Linked DNA regions of Drosophila melanogaster. The gene in region 1 interacts genetically with each later gene. Each region holds a gene or a part of one and is shown on either strand. Other genes may lie near its edges. The genes, in order: bnl, trol, sr and Vhl.

Region 1 (5,328 bases):
AAAAAGAAGGAAAACCGTCAAAAAAAAAAGAGAAACAACAAGAATAACAACAACCTGAGTAAAATACGCGACGATTTTCTCGTTTTCATTTTGCCTTTTTGTTGCTCGCTTTTTAACTGAGCGGTGTACCTAAAGCTGTTGCCATGTGCGATCGTGTGTGTGCGTCTCTAAATGTATGCCGCACATTATGTGGTCTAGTGTTCACGCTTAATTAAAACAAACGCTACATTTTTACTGAGTTTCCCGCATTTTCCGCCTTCTTTCGCCGACTTCGGTTGACTTTATATTCCGAGTGTTATGCGCCACTTTTGGGCAAAAAGAAAAACAAACCGCAAAACTATTTACGCACGGCCATAAAACTTTTTTCTTTTGCATGCGATAAGCTTTATCTATCTACGAATTATGATCGTTGTATTTCAAACTTTGGCTCCACTGGGCTTGCTGCCCCATCAATCAGGCACAATTTGTAAATGTGTCACAGGCCCAAGCGAAAAGTTACCCAACTCGTGCGTTTCAGAACTAAACCTGATAATTGGCTGGCTTTATGACATCTGAAGTCCGAAGGCATGCACGACAGTCTCCGGGGAAATATAAATTCCACGCGCAACTCTTTTACTACCAAAATATAAATTTACTTTTCAATTAATTCGGGACTGCCCATGCAATTTAATCACTTCAATTGGTTTTTCTGCATAAACTGATGTCTTAATGTCTAAATTTACGGTGGTCTTTTCAATTATTCAATCGTTGACGTAGCCAGAAACCGTTTCGTAAGCGGTACTAAACAATTAGCCAATTATTTTCTTTGCCCTTGGGGGATATTCATTTTTTAGTTGATGAAATTGTGACGTGAGAACTTTAACGGCAAAGGAAATAAAATTTGATCGGCATTTGAAGAGGCACAATTCAATTATGTATAATTAATGTATGAATCTTTATCGCTTATTTTTGGTTATTAATAAGTTATACAATTAGAATTAGAAGATAAGATTTATTATGGCTTATGTAAGTTAGCAAAAAAGATTAACTTGATTATAATACTAACTAATAGCCCTTATTGCTGGAACAATTGTAAACCAATAAAAAAGTTATGAAAGGAAAGTAAAAGGTAATAAACCAAAATTTTAATATTTTCCCTAGACCCCAGATAAGTTTGAAAAATGACCAGAAAAAATCTGAAAATACCAAATAGTTAATAGCTTCTACAAATAATGACCCTGATTTGAGTTAAGCACTCTTCGCTGCCATTAATTTTGAAGGATATCACCCGCTAGTCCACACAGCCGAAATTCATTCAGTTTATTCTTTATCGCGATCCCCATATTTCGCACTTTGTCTGTCGCTCGGCTGTCCAAACTGTGATCCGGCATGTGATTAGCAGTTGTTGAACCCGACGCATACTAGCGTGCGGCAATAACGCAAATTCGCACACAGATACAAAATACAGATACAGATACGCAGCGCAAATCATCCGCAGGAAGAACAAGAACAACAAGCCAGCTTAGATAATAGCGCACAAATGTTAGATAATAGTCAGCGCCGCCAATTTATAGGACAAAAAGTGCACGCGCAGAGTGAGCAGAAAAAAAGTTTATTGCGAAAAAGTTAGCGAAATGAGATTAAAAGCGCCTGCGTGCGTTTGCAAATAGAGATACGCACAATTCGCATATACGCAGATACAGATACATTTCAAGACGGCGATAAAGATTCGCAAATGTATATGCGTTTTGCAAAAAAAAAAACTATAAATAATCCCAAAGATCGTGTGCTTAAATTTATATGAATTTCGCTTTCATAGAGTGGGTTCTCCTAAGGTCGTTTGCTTTCACCGGTTGGCAAAAAAAAACATTTTGCTACATTTTGTTTGCTTTACCAATTGTTTATTTGGGGCAGATAAACGCGGAAAAGTACTTGGAAAAACTAGGCTGCAAATCAAATTTAATTCGCTTATACCTAAATGCAATCAGATTACGTTTTAAGTGAATATCATTCTGCACAGGTATTGATCAATCAAATCAAATATGAACTAAATTATTTCAATTAGCATGCCACTAATATAAATTAAGTTTTTGCCCATTTGCTTTAGCTTGCTATTTGTTTGTTGAAATCAATTTATTTCGTTTTTATACATATTGCTATTTAATTACTTTCCCTCGTGGGTCATTTAAATACACTTATTACTCGGCCCGCTGCCAAGTGGAAAATGTTTTAAATTTATTTTGAAAGTTACCAAACAAATTGCCACATTTCAACGTATTCAAAATATTTTATTTAAATGCCCAACATTGCGCGACCAAAGAACACTGAAACTCTTTATAAATTTTAGTATTTCAAAACATCAAATCTAATAATACAGAAAAACATATATTTTTTCCGTTCGGCAAACTTGAAACTTTCAATAATTTTAGGCTTGCTTTTGCTAAGCTCCAAAGACCGAAATCCAATGAAATATTTTGCAACATTCGAACAAATACTTGGAGGAACAACAAACTTATTAAAAAAAAGAACTTATGTAACAGCGTTGAAACAGAAAATTACGCACCTAGGTTTTATGTTTGTTTGCTTTTTTTTCAGTTTTACGATTCTTTTTTTGGACGCGTTGTATTCTTCGTTGATTTTCAGAGAGTTGCACTTTGCACACTTTAAAACTTACGGCAACAACAATTCAACATTTTCATAATTTTTTTCTTATATTCCTTTTTCAAACACAGCACAAATCATATATATATATTTATTTTTTTATATATTTTCCGATCTTCGAATTGCTCGCATCTAAACGATTTTTTTTTTTTATTGCGGGCTTTTCAAATTGTAACGACTCTCTTGGATTGCGAAACGAACATTCGTGTTTCAAATTTCCTATCCGCCGAGATTATTGTTTCGATCTCCTTTGAAAACGATTGCACACAAAACCGGAACATCGAGTACGTTAAAACGGAGCGATTACGGACGCGATCACGATGATGGGGTTACGATTAGAGATGGTTAGGATGTGCCAGATGGATCGGATCGGATCGAATGGTAGGTCTGAAAAATTCGAAAACGCTGCGGATGCGGATAAGCGGACTTCGAGTGCTACTGCGACTGCGGACGCTCCGCTCACTGTGTGTTCCCCAAGCGTGCTAGTCAGAGACTGAAGCCATGAGCAAAAAGACCCTGTCGATGAGGCGACGCTTCGTGCGTTCACGCCGAGCACGTTTGCGACGGAACGAGCACGAGAGAGAGAGTGCGATGCGGTGCGGTTCGGCGGGAGGGAGACGGAGAGAGTGAGAGCAAGTAGTGGGCGAGTAAGGTAAACGCCAAGAATGGTGGTCGGTGGTCAGCTGTAGTGAATGGTGGTCGGTCGGTTCCCTAGGTGTGATATGGGGTTTATCTGTTATTCCCAATTCATCCTTCCGATCTGACGAAACTGCGGCTCAAGTGATTGAAACGCTGCCAACTCGTTGATTCATCATACATTAGCGTCAGAATCAAAAACACCGTTATAAAAGATTTGTATTTCGTTCGTTGCTAATTTATACTTTGTAGCTGAATAAATTATAAATTTTAATGAGTGGTTAAAAACTACTGTGTTACTAGCTCAACATTGTACTCAAACATTAAATGCAAAATATGAATCAATTTTTTTTTATTTTTTGTGTACTTATTTGTTGTATTTAGAAAATTATTTTTGGATTTTAAGTAAAACAAACAAATTCTGTTAGTGTTTGGGGTGGTTAACTGTAGTCATCTTAATCATTTATGAAGCCTACTTTTTCTTACTCTAAATATCTTAAACGGTTACATGGTAACTATCTAACCGAAAATTCTGAAATTTTTTGGGCCACAATGTAGGCTACAAGGTGTTATCTGTCACTAGAAAAACAACTTTCGAACATAAAGCTCAACTAAAATGTTCTATATATAAAAAAAAAAATATATATATATATATATATAAAATACAGTAGTCTACTAATTTTTGTTAGAGTTCTGTCACTATAATGAGCCCCCTAAGTCGACGGCGACAAATCACGTGACGGTTTTCAAACAGACATTGTGAAAGGGAGAGATTGCAGTTGCTTTTTGTTTTTGATTGGATTGCGTTTGGTGGCGGTTGTGCTTTTTGGCGCGTAGACCTTTTCCAGTGCTTTTGACGTATTTCGCCAGGTAGCGTGGACTTGCACAAATACCAATTAACTAACAACACAAAGTGCAACAACAAGCGTCACCCAGTACCCTTTATTATTCGGCTAAACATTGCCAGTGAATCAGTCGCGTGGGAAAGCCAACTCACGATAGGTGCTAATCGCATCGTTGTATTCGCACTGATAAGGTTTGAACTTTGACCAACTCATTTGCCTGTGGCTGCAATAAACCACAAAACCTATTTCTGACCAACCGAAATTTTTGCTAATTTTAGATGTTGACCAAAATTTAGCCCCAAAAATACTGTCACACGGCAAATTTAAAAGTTAAGGCAGCTATGCGCGAATTTCGTTGAATACAAGTTTATCTTATCTATTTAGAAGGCGCTTATAAAAAATCACATGGTGCAGATACCCATATGTGTGTATGAATGAACTTCAACTTGACACTACAGAAATTGCAGAAATATTCCGGGGTAGTCGCCTACGTCATTCTTGATGACAGCGTCATTCAGTGGGTGGGTGTTGCCGGTGGAAAGTGCGGGCTTGCTACTGATTGGCAAAGTTTTACATTGTCGCTAAGACTATATAACTGCTATAAAGTAGCAGTTTTGAGAAGGCAATGTTGTTTATTAAAGCCATAAAATATTGTTTATCGTGTCATCTATCGTGTTTGGTACTTACAATTTTTTGAAAATATTTGTTAGATTATGTTGTGTAGAAATGATTTATGAAACATATTAAGAATTTTGTGGACTGCGCTTTTGCTTGTTTAGAAATAGTACCTATGTAGATCTGTCCAAATTGTAAATTTTAAACAGTTTGAATTTAGAATATTGAGTTTAAATATATCACTTGAAGCGCGAGTAAAGCCATGCTAAAGTTGCATACTTCGAAATAAGCAAATTTACTTAGACCCTGTGTTTAATTTAGTTTTCAAATGTATTTCTAAATGCTTGCTCGTAAGTGGCCTAAGTGATTTCGCCAGGCCACAGAAAAAGGGTTGCCTCAAAACTCAATTAACTCAATTAACCGGAATGAAAACATTTTGTGCCCGAGAATTTGACGCCTGGTGAAACGCGGGGAAGCACATGCCAAATGTGCCTATTCCAATAAATAACCAACAACAGCGAGAACTCCCCCGCAGTTTTCGAGGGCAACCTTTGGAATGTCGATCTGCCCTTTGCACTTTCCACATTGTCCC
Region 2 (5,606 bases), on another chromosome or scaffold:
ATGTGATCGCTGTGCGAATGTTTTCGGTACACAGGAAAAGAGGTTGGGCTATATACAAATGTTACATATTTTACTTGCAAAAAAAAAAAAAAAAAAACATTTTATTCGGCAAGTGAAACTTGATTGAAGGTATTAGCTTATATTGAAATCAACTGATCCACGCCTTTTCAACTTAAAGGCCATTTCCCAGCGATTCAATAAGGCCAGCAGAATGAGGCAGATACACAAACAGCCAGGCAGCCAAGCAGCCGGTCACATGTGTGATCGGGGGTACAACATCTTGTGTCCATATGTTGCACAAACAAACAGAAACCGTGAAGCCACGGAAACAAGAAAACCAGAAAACCGAAAAACAAGGAGAACTGAAAACCGAAGGGAATGTGCCAACGAACGCATCTTCAGACCAATGAAAAACAAAGAAAACATAATCCGAAAAGCTGAAAAAGAAACCAAAACGATACGGGCGAGTCAAAAAAGCTGCGAAATGATATTTTCTCATCTGTTGGCTGCCGTTTTGTGCTTTAATTTTTTTTTTTTTTTTTTTCTTATTCGCTTTGCAGTTGTGTTGTTGATGATGCAAATATTTTGACAGTTTGTTTGACAGATATCGGGGCACACAACGGGGCGTGATGTGATGAGCGATATACAAGCCAAGGGCCAAGAAGGGTGGGGGGTGAGGGATCGGATACCCTTGGAAAGCCGGAAAAGGGCCATCGAATGAGGACCCATCTGTCGATGTAAACAGAGCAGCACAATTCGCTTGCCAGGCGAATATCAGTTTGAAGCATCAGAAGTTGCCATATGCAGTGAGTTGTACTTTGCGCTTCAGACTTTCAAGAAACACTATGGAATCAGTGGCGAGTTGCACAGTTTGCCAAAAAGAAAGGAATGGTGACATAACGTATGGTGTTTAAACTGATTATTGATAGCTAGCATATGTGCTTTTCAGTCAAGTTCAGCTATCAATTTAAAAACGAATAAAACCCAAGATAAACGATATCGAATGCCCCAAGGGGCACCGTGCCACCTGATCGTATGCGCAATGTCCGATGACCGGCAATACGCATACGCCGGATGGGCAAAAGCGGAGGATGGAGCTATCGTGCTGCAGCAGTGACCTCGTTTGCAGTCCGATTTGCAGTGGTTCCTTCTTCAAAGTGTGGCTCCCATTCCCGTCCCACTCCCAGTCCCAGTCCCACCGATAAGCCCTGAGCAGGCGACATAGCCCCCGTATGTATGTATGTGTACATGTGTTCGAATTTGGCCTCATTTACGCAACTTCCGATGTGATAAAAAGTGTGAGCGCTGCAGCAAAACAAATCGAATGGAAACGACATGCTCGACAAAATCAAGCAGAGTACCAGAATTGTCCAGCAGGTACTGCCGTCCGTTCACAAAAGCCATTGAAACATTCACAAACGTTCAGTGATTTTAAATGTTAATTAAAGAAATTATTTCATTGCAAGCAAATGTCTGTGGGCAACATGTCATTAACACGCTGATAACGCGCTATCATCAAAGCTCATTATGGTGGAAAACATACACACACACACTCGCACACACACACACAGCGACCCCTCCCTCCTTCAGGCACAAAGATAGAATTTGGAACTGAAACAATCGACTTCTCATAATAATTGGCAAAGCCATCCGAACACAATCGCATCAAATTCAAAAGCCAGCATCTGAACTCGATCCGAATTTGTGAAAAGAAATTAATTCAGCGTCTGTTTTTTCGAGAGAGTGATAACCTGCGATGATGACCCCGGCCCAATGGACTTGGTGATCTATTTTTTTGGCCTCTGCTCAACTCGAAATCCGGTCCTTAACATTGTCCGTAACCGAGCTCCGAAACCCTGAAGCCTCGAAGCCCGGCTCAACTTCCTAATTTGATGGCGAGTGGAGGAAAACTATTTTCCAAACCACTTACAATAAATACATTTTTATGCTAATCACTGGTGGCGCTCGTTTTGTGTCTGTCTGTCCCGCCTATTGGGAAAAAAAAACAATACTCGTATGTGTGTCATGCTAAATAGTTCAAGTTCGTCGCGGAACCCAGAGTTGTGTCATCCGGAATAAGAGATCATTGGGTTACCGATCTCGAATGGGATGTGCATCAGCTGATGGGCAATGGTCATGTGAATGGTAAGCGGCTGTTAGGATCATGTCACCGAATAGAACTAATCAAATTGTTAACTGCATTCCTGGGCCTCAAATAGCAATGTAATAATTATAATACTACATATCCCAACAAGAGGGTCGAACTCACCTTGGCATTGGTCAGCAGCGGTGCGTGGCAGGCGGCGAGGACGAAGGTCACGGCAAGGAGGCGCAGGAGCAACGATCCTCCCGCTTGACCTCTCCGCCCGCTTCTGATTCCGACCGAGGTCGCGATCGCGGACGCTTGGGATCCCGGCGATCCCATCATCTCTTTTCCGGGTAACGGCGGTTTTGGTTTCTTTTGGCAGCTATTTAGGTTTGGCTTAGGTACTTTGTGAAGGCAGTTTCGGTTCGTTTTGTTTAGTTTGGCTTTAAACGGCTGGCAGGTTGTGGTTACGGCTATGGCACTGCACGGAGAAAAAAAGCCCCAGACATTAATTCGCAATTGAGCAACAATTAAGCGTTAGACAGAGACAGAGATAGAGAGCATCCTGATATTATGTTTCTGGGGATTTTTTTCTCCGCGCACGGAAAAAGGGGAAGCAAATCGGTGATTTGACATCAGCAAAATTTTTTGGCTTTGGTGAAACCAAATCCGAATTAAAAACCAGAGAAACCGTCATGTTTCAGAAGTTTCTTCGAAAAATCCGAATGATCCCCTTTGATCATCTGTTCGCTCCTGGACGAGCCGATATTTGTTTCCCCTCTTTCTGTTCGCTTTTCCGCCTTTTCGCTTTATTTTCTTGTTTCATTCCTTATTCTTTAGTTTCGTTTCACACGCGATGGACACTATTCGTATTCGTTGCGAGTATGGGTTCCTTTTTGGGATCACACTAGTTAATGAATGAAAAAAAAGGAGCAGGGCTTGGGTTTTTGTTTAAACGTTGAACCGATATCACCAGGATATCTTGTCGGGGATTTTCAAAATTTCGGCACTTCGAGGATGTGAGAGCACTCAAAAAAAAAAAAAGACAAACGCTCCCCACAAGAGAGTCAGAGTCACACAGAAAACAAAGGGACAGCACACCGTGGAATGTGCGACCGCCTGGAACGATGGCGCGCAACCTAATGTCTAAGAACCGTTGCTGCGATTCCCATCGCTGCCTCTGCTCTGCCGGCGTCGCCCGAAGACGCACGAAGGCCGAAAGCGCGACGGAGCCGAAGCGATTTGCGTGCTCTTGTTATTGTTTAACGGCGCTTAATGGCCATTGCAAGCCTGTTGCGTCGATGCACCGCACTCTCTCTCTCCCTTACCCTCTCCCTCTATCCCTCTCTCGCTCACATGCGTGGGTGTCCGCTTACGCAGAGTTAGCTGCGCCTGCTCTCTCTCCTCTCGCTCTGCCTGTCCATCCTTATTTGCGGAGCGTAGTCGCGATTTAGCCAGTCGGCTAAAGCAGCATTTAAGGCCGTAACGATAGAAAAAAAAAAGTAACTATCACTTTAGTTGGATAGTAAGCCCCCCCTCCCCCATTTTTTTTTACTCAACACCCGCCCAAGTGGCTCTCGCTCTCTGGGTCAACTGATAAACAAGTGAAAACCGTTGCTCCTTGCTCTCTTTTCACCTTTCGTTGTTGCTGCGGCAGCCGGTTTGCAAATTATCCCACTCACTCCCACGAAAAGCGGCGCTCTCCTCGCACATTTTTTTATTGAAGTTCTTTGAATTTGACACTCAAAAAAAAAGGAGAGTCCAATAAAATGCTGATGCAATTCGCGTAGGAAAGCCAAACACCAGTGAAAACGTATTTGAAACACGAACTTTATAGCCTTTACTCGCTGTTCCTACGAATATTAGTGTTTATGGACAATTAATTCTTGGCGCACCTAAAACATACATACAACCATGTGAGCAAATCATCTTAAATGTGCAGTCATCGGTCTAAAATTGATGCAAAGCACTATTTTAAATATTCAACACAATACAAGTTTGGCAGGACGGACATCCATGTGATATTAGCATTTCGGGCTCGTCGGCTTTGGCGGTTAAGTCGGTTTGTCAACTGGCCATAGGACCGGCCACAATCCGTGACCTTCAGCCGATTTAGCCACCACCCCCCCCCCCCCTGTCAACACCACCAAAAAGGCGGCTTCCCATTGGCGCCTGACCCAATGACATCCGAAAATGACGCATGCGTGAGGGTGAATTACCGGACTTGGATGCCGACGCCCCACATGGAGGACCAATGGACACGTTGCGATTTTTTAGGGCCCCATCTCCTGGAATAATTGGCCCATTCCTCAGGTTCGTTTCCCTGTTCCTCCCCTTTTTCGCCTTTGCTAATGTAAAATATATTTAATATTTAAATGGTGAACGCTCACAAGTGGCCACAGCTTCCGTTCGCAGATAAGAAAAGGTACTAAAAATACACGCAGAAAATTGTTGAATACGCTATTGAAAATAATGGCAATGGTCTGTATACACTTGGAGAAATTAGCTAGATAGACACCAAATACACAAATACGTGCTTAATATTGAGCTTTGCCTAGGTGTTAAGTTTATAAATTAGTGATAAGATAACATTATAAATTTTAGTAAAATTGTGCACAAATTCATTTCAATGTTTTATTGGTCGCAGTGCGATTCTTGAACATATTTTCTTCAATTGAAAAGCAATGACATCTGTTCGACTTTCGTAGCACTTGTTTTTTCAACTGCTCAAATCATTTAATATTTAGACATGTGTGCACTCTCGAGCATTTCATTCAATTTAGGGAGTCAAATGTTATCACATCAAAATTGGAGCAAGTGCTGAAACAATTAGAATTATCAACCTAAGTCCGTAACCTATAAAGGTTATCAACGGTGAGAAAAACCAAAAAACAAAAAAAAAAAAAAAATATTTTTAATTTACCGAACTCACCACAGTCGTCGAGTGGTGAGTACACGATTCTGTTAGCCACATTTGCAATCGAAAGCTAGCTACAGTTTGAGAGCCATTGCACAAAAGCTTTTAGCCAAGTCAACAAAAAAGCTTTCCTAAAGCGTTTGCCACCAAAAGTATAAGTTTTTAACTGAATAAAATTCAATTATTAAAGAACAAGCTGTTTCAATTTAATCACACATTAAGAGTTTATGAAATAGGTGACTTACAGGATCTCATCTACTTGTCAAATTGGTTGTCAAATGTGGCCACACGGACAATCCAGAAAATGACATTTTTTTGAAGTGCTTAATAATAGATTTAAGGGTTATTTTCCATTTGTCCATATATCCTTTTGACAACAATGAAGATATCCCTGTCCCATTTACATTCCGCCCTCGTTTTTTGCACTCACTTTTACATTTTCCGAGCACATTTTTGGTTTCCGTTACCGACTTTCGACTTTCACACTAAATACTCGCCTTTCCCATTTTCTGGCCCAGTCACGTGTTTCGCAATGGCAACTTGTTTACTTTTGCATACGTAAAGGCCTGGGTAAAATGTGCTAGTGAATTAGACGAGGACGAT
Region 3 (5,151 bases), 1.7 Mb from region 1:
AAAAGGCAGCTACACAAGTGGAATGGAAGTCCCATCCTGTGCTGTTCTGCTCCATTACTCTAGCGCTGAAACAAATGAGCAATAATAAAAATAATAATATTAATAATAATAATAACGAGGGGACAGCGCTTCCTGGAAGGTGGAAAAACCGAAGGGACATTTTCGTTGGCTGGGAAAACGAGAACAATAAGGTTATCCAAGCTGGACCTGTTGATTGCCTGCCTTCATTTCGCCAAATGTGCTCCACTTCTACTTCACTTTTCCTAGTGGAAATAATTTCCAGCGTGGGCGTGTAAGAAAATGCTCGACTGGGATGCTAATAGATGCGATTAAACGCCCACACTGTCAGATATTATTGACTAGAAGATGAGGATGAAGTTAAGGGCAGGGGCACAGCTAAATGGCAGATACGGCACAGTGGGCTAATACTGCCCATGAATACTGTTAGAATAAATGTATTCGGGAAAAAAGAAAATCTCTAAATGTTAATGTGTAAGGCAAAGTTGTGAATACTTTCTATTATTCAAAATATTATAATGTGAGAAATTAATCAATTGCTTTATATTAATCATACGCAGTGTGGTCATAAATATTTACTAAATTGAAAAGTTAAAACAATTACACTATAAACCCTATTTATTATATTATATACACTATATTACACGATTTGAAATAGTTAATAGCTGATAGGTACCCAAAGCTTTTGTACACATTTGAAGACTGATTTGAACCACTGTGCAGAAGGAAGCCAGAAGCTACTAGCATTTTCCACTCGAGAAGAGTCTCGGGAGAATGGATACAGGATGCTGGTGCCTTGCCCTTTTCCCGAAACGTCTGCCACGTGTGTGGGATGTCCTGCGGCTGGAGGCTCCTGTTGCTCTTTGGCCAACCCACCGCCCGCCAATCGATGGCAGACCAAAGGTTGCCGGTCACATTCGGATAAATATATGAATGGAATGGAAAGCGAAAAACTGAATTGAGCTTATCAATGAAAAAAGCTCCCGTTGATGTGTCCGCTCAACTAGAAGTTCATTCATAAATTTTCCTGATTTTCCGCTAAGCGAATAGAGCAGCTGAACCCAAAGAAGCTCGCCCTGTTATCCGGTTGAACTTTGATATTTCGGTATTCACAGGAGAAGGTCCTGCCTTCCGTTTCTCTGCCCCTTTGTGGGGGAGTCGCTTCAAATGTCAGCTGCTCCTGACTCCATTTAAACCGCATTATTTGGCCGGAAGCTTTGGCTGGATTCGTTACACCTGCGTGTTTAATTAGCCAGGCAATTTCAACTTGTTGCAGAAAATTTGCGGCTACCAATTGCCGGTTGACCTTATACATATGAGCAGCATTCCCCGCGCTGTGCCCCTCGCACATTCGCACACGGAACACGTGTACGTGACTTTTAACCTTTTCATGTGGCAGCGCTAATTGATTTGTTTTACGCACGTGTCGCTCTGCAGGAGTGCAAATACATATGTATCGCGTGGGCTACGCATACTAACGTCCTTCATATTTTAGGCCATAACCAGCAATTCGTCATTCAGTCAAATAGCTTGTGTTTGAGCCAAAAAGAAGTTGTTGCAAGGCTGTTCTTTGAGTTTTCCATTAAAAAAGATAAACAAGAGGCCAACAAAAGTATACTTAAAACAACCAATATGTTGTAAAAGTTTCATAAATCATTATATTAAGCCTTATCTTTGTATATTTTTATTAGTTTTAATTTTAGTTATTATTTCCATTCATATTGAATGGAGGTAAACCACGAAATTCAATTGACTTCTCGAACATTCGACGGCTTCATAAAAAAACCAGGTTTCTTTCGAAATGCAAATGGAGTCTATCTGCAAATGGTATTTGGCAAAAACAGCTCCTAAATATTAAGGAATGTGTAAATAATTTTATGCAAAATGATCTCATTCGATTCGGTTTGTACAGAAATTTCGAAGATGTGTAATCTTTTCCATCTCATTCATCATTAAAAATGTAAGGTTTTTCAATGAGACTACAAATATTGAATGAATTTTTATATTTAATAATTAAATAGAAAACAAATCTGGTTTAGCTAATGGCTAAAAACCTTTATGGTTTTGTGAAATAGGAATTTATGAAAATCACAAAATATTTTATGTTAATTACCTTTATTGAATTATTTTAAGAAATCATCCAATAAAATAATTTGGATTTACGAATATATGTTTTCGGGCAATATTCGTACAATTTATTAATAAATTAAAACTAATGTAACATGACCGTAATAAATTCGGCCCCGCTTCAATTTTCCCCATCATATATATGTAATAAAGCCTTATATTTGGCTTTCGCCCCAATTAAAGGCCATTAGAGGCCATAACCAAACCGACAATCACCCCTTTCCCGCTGTAACCATTAATATACTTGTTCAGATGTCGATGGTGGATGGCTGGGCAATATAGGCAGGGTCTACTACTACTACTACTTACCAGCTATAAAAAGGCAATCAGATGTCGTCGATTCGGAGGCAAGTCGGCGACAACAGAGCACGCAAGCGCCCAGAAAGCTGGTCTGGCTAGGGCATCAAGATTTGGGCGCGTAAATAGGCAGGATCGTTGGGATTTTCATCTGTAGTCCAACAGTCGCGCGGATTGCGGATCGCGCGACTGCGTTTGTAATTAATTACGAGGCGGGCCAAAAAGGCGAACGCACGCGCGACTCACTATAAACCGCAACCGCGATTGCAACTGCAACAACTACTGCCAACTGCGACTCTGAAACTTCAGATGGCCAAGCATAAGATAAGATGCGCAGCTGTATAGAACGTGGCCAAGTCAAAGGAAGCGACGTAGCTACTGCGATTACGCGAAAGATATCCACCGGCTGTAATCGCGATCTCGTTGGCTAGCGAAGAGTTGGCAACTAGTTCCCGGCTTCTTCGGTGCAGATTATGCAATTTTGATTTGAAACACGCAATTTGATGGGCTAGTCGAGATATTGGGCTACGGGCTATCTTTCGGCTTAATTCGCTTAACGATCTCATGCACAGGGCGCGTAAATCGGGGCTATAAGATCCCCTGCTCTTTTTTTTATTCTCGAATTTATTGTGCTCAACTTATTAGACGATAATTTCCTTCCGGTTGCGATGCGTTTTTTTTTTGCGATTCAATCCGTCGTCCGACTGTCGGCGGTATTAAAAAATACGGTTTGCTTCGCTTTGCAGCGCTGCCTTGACTGTTTTGCCTCGGTTTCACTGTATCTGTACCTGTACGTGGCTTTGTATCTGTATCCGTTTGCGATGGCAGTGTGTGAGTGTGTGGCAGTCGTGGGCTGATCATCGCCTTACTTAGAGATCTGTCGCCCAGTTGAGATGCCTCGTCTGAGTGTTGTTGTTGTTGTTCTTGCTGCCGTGTGTGGGCACAACTGTACATGCGGACGGGCTAAGCTAGCCGTCCTCGTCGCACTCATGACCGGGGGATTGCCGGTGGGGCAACGAACAACGAACAACAAACAACAAACACCACAAACCACACACACAACCCCCGCAACGCCTCAAAGTGCTTTTCTCTCTCGCTGAGCTTCTATCGCCTAGCATAAGGCTGTAACACCTTTGGATTACTCTTAAGCCGTTTTCCTACACTGAAAAGAAGTGTGAGTGTCAAAAATGTCCTGCGTGCCTTCATCTTAGTTAAACTAAATAATTGGTATTTCTAAATCCTCTTCAGCTGTTAGTAAACCAATATATGTAATATTTTCATTGACATTAGAAGAAGTGTTTTGTAAATAGGAATTATTTATTTATCAATAATCTTCATTTAAGTCATCTTAAATTGTTTTCAGTGCACCGGAACGTGCCAAGTTCTACGAGTGGTTGTGTGGGCTTTCCTCGGTCTAAAAGCCCACACATTTAGCCAACACTCTTGATCGCAACCCTCTTAGTAGAATCAAAACCCCCTCCACGTGTGCAAAACCCTTTCATAGGGATACTTGTAGAATCTGCGTCATTCAATGCACTTGTGCAAACAGACATACATATGTACATACATATTTTAGCCAGGATTTTTACGGATGCAGTAAACTTTAAGGGTTTTCCTGGAATCGAAATCCAAATTCGTCTATCAATCCTGAAAGCTTTTGCTGGAAAGCTAGTCAGCTAAAAATAACACCAACGAAAGCTAATTGGCTGAAAAAAGCTTGGGCCCCCTTAGAAAAAAGCTTTAGAGGCAACAGCACCCACAGAAACGCACACCCACACACAAAAAAAACGCCAAACACACATACACACACACACACATGTGTATATACAAAGGGGTCACGTGGGTGGTTTCATTGATAAATTCATACTTTTACCTCTCGCTCTTTCAGCTGACTGCAAATTGAATTGCAAAATACTGCAGCTGTGCTCGCAGAAAGAGACAGAGCGATAGAAAGGGTGCAGGTGGAGAAAGGAAGCGGAAAGAGATGGAGCTACTGGAAGAGAAAGAGACAAGGACAGAGCCCCTCTGTGCACTGCTCCACTTTAAATAATGTGGGTGTGGATCAAGCCCGGCATTAGATTGTGAATGAAAACTCGAAAAGAGACAGCGAAACGCGGCTAGAAAGAGACGGAGAGCCGAGTTAAAAACGCCCACCAAGCTCACCTTACACAGACACACACACACACACACTCGCACTTTGGCTTCTAATCATATTCATATTTTACCCCCCCCCCCCCCTTCACAACTGAAAACTCGAATTCATTCATTCACAAAATGCTTATATATGGAAACTTGTCAATTAGTTCAAGTGTCTTACACTGAGCGAAACCCAAGTCCCAAGTCAAATTAATTATACTTAGCCGAATCGCCCACATCGGACATTTGACATTTGTACTCTTATTAACTGTAATTGCTCATTCAGAATGTGACACATGCAATAGTAATAACAAAGGCCAGCACAATTAGCTCGCCACCTTATAAGGCTTATACTTTGTTAGGAAAATAAATTTGAGAAATGGCACTAGAGACAATAGTATGGCCCAAAAACCCAATATTAAGATACAAAATCTAAGATACAAGATACACCACGTTGTATTCCGACAAACTACAACTATGAATAATCTATGAATAATAATACGTGAAGTGCTCGTACGTTTTGAACTGCATTCTGTTTGAAAATGATGAAATATTAGTAATTAAAATCCAGCT
Region 4 (4,184 bases), on another chromosome or scaffold:
TATATGTTTGTCTACTCGGTTTAAGAAGCGACAGTCCTTTTGGGAAGAAATTAAAAGTCTAGGAAAGTAAAGTTCAACACATTTATTTAACATTATTTATTGACTTGGGGGGTGGGCGGCGATGTACTCCAGAGAACGCTGGATGGCCTCTGGAATTGGTGGTGGGGTGGGCAGAGGAGGGTTGGCAGACACCACCTGGTAACCGTTGGCATCGGCGATATATTGGATGGACACTGGCACATTTTCGGGAGATGTCCACGACTGGCTTCCCTTCACCACCCACTCTTCGCCGTTAAGGTCACCCTTCTGTTGCACATTGACAGAGTTGTCCAGCTCAACAGCGTAAGCAAAGCCGTCAACATTCACTTGCTGCTCGGCACGGAGAACATTGGCATCTTCGTTGGCGAGGGCGACGGCCAACAGGCAGGCGAAAGCAATCTACAAGGATTGTAAATAACAAATCAGCTAGAATCATTAAAGGATCAATTTGCGATAAAGCCACTTACGAAGAACTTCATGTTGATTGTTGAAAGACTTGAGAAGGCTAACTGATATCGAACTGGAACTTCTGCCTGCTTTTTATATGATACTGATGCTCAGCTTACCTCTGCCGGTGGCGCCCAAGTTCAAGTCTAGAGACGCGTAGGATTTGATTTCATTAATTATGCATTAGATAAGACAAAATACATGTTTATGTGTGCCTCGTTATTGCCGTTCAGTTAAAGTTCGCATTGAATCCCATAATAATGCCCGAAACAGACGGAAGACGAGTTTGACGCGGAGACATTAACTAACTATGTGTCAACTAGCAGACACATTGTAAAGATATAATTAATTCTCGAATTATTTTTGTCAAAAATGTCGAATTAGCATAATATTTGGCTACGGCTAGCCAGCCAACGACCGGTTTGCGTATCTCCGGTGCGTATCTCTCTTGAGTCTAGCTTGGAGCGGGCACTTGGCCAGGCCACCTTGACATCCCTCCTAGAAAGACGTATGCATTTGATAAATAATTCGCTTTATTATTCGTTCAGTATTAATCTACAGCTAGGCAGTGCCGCTCATCAGTTTCTGGACAGCGCGATCGAACTTCCTGCAGATATAAAAGTAACGTATTAAGAGCAACTTATATATTCTTTAAGGAGAAGCCCGCTTACTTTGAAGTCAGCGATTCGCCGGGAATGTAAAAGGGATTGCAGATGGCATCGGTGTAGAGCAAGTGGAGATTTCGGAAGATCTGGAAGATACAGAGGGTAGGAGGTATTTGGGGCTTTCATTTAGATAGTTAGATTGGATACCCACTGCTCGAACTTCGTTTTCCCGAAGGGCAACGTTGCTGGAGTCGATGACCACTATGAATTTCACCCGAGTGTTGGTCACAAAGCCGTATCTGTAATGAAATCAACCACCAATCAGTTGCAAATTCACCAGCATAACTACACCCAAGTACATTTTGTGGTTCTCTGTCGAGTAGAGCAGTCCCAGGTACAGCTCCTTGGACTCCGGAGCACCCTTGCCAATCAGGCACTTCTCCTCCACGACGTCTAAGGCGGCGTTAACATGATATTGCAATTCCAGTTCCTGCTCCATATCGGATGTGGTCAGGTACAGGGGGGCGTTCTGTGGGGAATTTGTCATGCAATTAATTGTATTCAAATGAAAAATAAAACTCACATCCTTGCCAATAACTGCTATGCAAAATGCCATATTTTGTTATTTCTTGGTGTTTATTTGTTTACTTTTCGCGAGAGGCGGAGGCAAATCAGCTGATTTACCCCTTATCGATAAGACATTCATCGAAAGTGTGGCCAGCTGCAGTGACACGCAGCAGGAAAAATGTTACCGTAACTGATAAGAAGTGAATTTTATCTATACTTGTTGTTAGCTTGTTGTGATTTGATTCAATCCAATTCCCACGGCTTGTGCAAACGTAAAACAACGAAAATTGATTTGGCAGCCATTGCAGATCGGCTTAGCACCCTGCTGGAGATGGCGCTCCAAATAGCGCAGAACAACCGCGACGGCCAGCAGCTGGTGGGCGCTGATCAGGGAAAGGTGGAGGTGTACGTGCTGTTTGCAAACACCACCTATCGCACCCTGGATCTGTACTGGGTGTGCGAGCGGGAGCGGGAGAACATGTACCTTACCCTCAAGCCCTTCGAGGAGGTGCGGGTGAACACGTTCACCACACACAGCTGGCTGTTCCGGGATTACTACACGGGCGAACGGATGCACGTACGCTCGCAGAGGATCTTTCAGCCGATTCGGGTGCGGGTACCCAAGAGCCAGCAGAGTCCGGATCAGCTGGTTGACGTACGCAGCGAAGTGCTGATCCACTTTCCGATGAGATCGCTGCGCGAAAACTGCCTCTGGCTGGTCGCCCGCTGGCTGATCCGGACGAGCAACGCGCCACGGAGGATTATCCACGGATACCACATACCCTCGACGCTGAAGCAACAGCTGCTCAGCCTGCTGACCTGCATCGAGTCCTATTCCCGAGTGGCGGGCACGCGACGTCGGCGTTAGGAGCACACTCCTAGTTGTTAGTTAAGAGGGCGGGTAATCATCTTAGGGACTGAGAGACAGGCTTGATTTCCAAATAATTTAATAACTTTAATTGATTTCCATCCTGGTTTTCGATTTTCGCTTATTACTTATGTACAAATTGGCTTGCATAGAGCTCTTTACAAGTTGGGCTACTACCATTGCATTGATTTTTCTGTATATTTAACAGATTTCTTATACCTATGTATGTTCTATGTAAATAATTATGTATAAACCTAATGTGAAACAAGTGTGAATATTACATACATACATATATGCGCAATACTCTAGGTCTAGTTGCTTCAGATGCAAATACGATTTAATGGTATGTCTGCAGTTACTCCTTTGCAATGCTTATCTACGTGTGTCGCAAGCCTAATTGTTATAAGTCTGAATCTGAAGTACATATTTATTCCTAACGAGAAGTGAACAAACAAAAGTACTCCGGTGCACTTTTAAATTTAAAGTTAACGCTCGTACAGATTCTCCTTGAATGTGTTTGTGTTTGTCCACGAGTCGAGTCGAGAAGAGATGAGACGAATCGCAGGTTAACTCAAATATATTGCAAAATCAACTTATAAAAATATAAATTGTTAATCGATCTGCTCAATCTCGTTCTCATTCAATAATGCATCGGTACTGCTTCGGTTAGGCGGGAGATCACTTGCCAGCGTTCAATACTTGCGCGTCACGCGCTCCAAGCTATCCCCGATCGAACCTATGGGGCGGATATATATAAGCACAACTCTCGGTTAGGCAATAGCAATTGCAGAAATCAAGTATGCGTTGTGTTTGTGATAGGTGTTCTTGTGTTGTTCAATGCGTGGGCTCTCTTATTTACCATCGTAGTTGAAATTCTGTTTGGTCTTGTACTGAAACGTTAGATCGGTCGACTGCTTCCAGATAAAGTGGCGCACCGTGCGCAGGTCCATGTTGGGGTCCACAACCTTTAAAGGAAAGGCGGTGAACAAGGTCCTTTAAATGAGATTTGTCCATTTGTCTTACCACATCGTTACACCACAGTTCAATTCGTTCCTCAGCTGGCAGTTGGGATCCCTCCGAATTAGCATCGCTCTGGCTATTCTGCAGTGAATTGTTAGCATTGCCCCCACTTGGGGTAGTTTCCGCATTCAGCACCTTTTCAAGCACGTGCTCGCAGACCTTGCGACACTGAATAAATTCATTAGCCACAAGACGATCCTAAAAAATTTAATATAAATTGCGTTAGAACATGAGTTTTGTTTGCTGTCAAGGACGGCTACCTTCTTCGTTCGTTCAGGCTTGGTCATTTGCGGGTGAGGCTGCAGGAAGAACGGTATTTTGAGGAACTTGGGAATGTTCTTCTCGATCACCACGTCGGTCACCCACTGAGGCGCCGTTTCGTGGAGCAGGGTACTTTCGCTATCGCCAGCTGCGTCGCGTACCAAAAGTCGGCAAACAGTGCGGCCACCCACTTCACTGTTTAATTTAGCCAGAAATTTGAGAAATTAGTTATGGTGCAGATAAGGTTATATCACAGTCACTAACCTAAAGATGACGGGCGTGTGCTTGGGCACTTGGAAGTAGCCATTGCCGTGCATATCGGGTTCCATTTCGTTTGGTGGTATGCTATGCGGTGGTGTCCAGTACTCTAGCAGGGC

The links.
Region 2: of bnl (region 1) and trol, changing one enhances a phenotype caused by changing the other (phenotypic enhancement), as found in Drosophila melanogaster (one study listed by BioGRID).
Region 3: of bnl (region 1) and sr, changing one enhances a phenotype caused by changing the other (phenotypic enhancement), as found in Drosophila melanogaster (one study listed by BioGRID).
Region 4: of bnl (region 1) and Vhl, changing one suppresses a phenotype caused by changing the other (phenotypic suppression), as found in Drosophila melanogaster (one study listed by BioGRID).

The regions. Positions count from the first base shown.
Region 1 is NT_033777.3:19,833,720-19,839,047, forward strand, and holds the start of bnl (branchless), read right to left. Parts: upstream 3,099-5,328; 5' UTR 2,543-3,098; intron 1-2,542.
Region 2 is NC_004354.4:2,542,196-2,547,801, forward strand, and holds the start of trol (terribly reduced optic lobes), read right to left. Parts: upstream 3,233-5,606; 5' UTR 3,188-3,232; intron 2,714-3,187; exon of another isoform or gene 2,568-2,713; 5' UTR 2,429-2,567; coding exon 2,270-2,428; intron 1-2,269.
Region 3 is NT_033777.3:18,088,758-18,093,908, reverse strand, and holds the start of sr (stripe), read right to left. Parts: upstream 3,107-5,151; 5' UTR 2,455-3,106; intron 1-2,454.
Region 4 is NT_033778.4:11,277,889-11,282,072, forward strand, and holds Vhl (von Hippel-Lindau), read left to right. Parts: upstream 1-1,836; 5' UTR 1,837-1,989; coding exon 1,990-2,526; 3' UTR 2,527-3,145; downstream 3,146-4,184. Other genes in the region: Cpr47Eg (cuticular protein 47Eg), read right to left, coding at 97-438, 507-518; CG9067 (uncharacterized protein), read right to left, coding at 1,048-1,093, 1,158-1,237, 1,303-1,390, 1,451-1,620, 1,675-1,707; CG9062 (uncharacterized protein), read right to left, coding at 3,219-3,262, 3,386-3,491, 3,550-3,744, 3,807-4,002, 4,072-4,184. UniProt on the Drosophila melanogaster protein: Involved in development of tracheal vasculature. Probably involved in halting cell migration at the end of vascular tube outgrowth.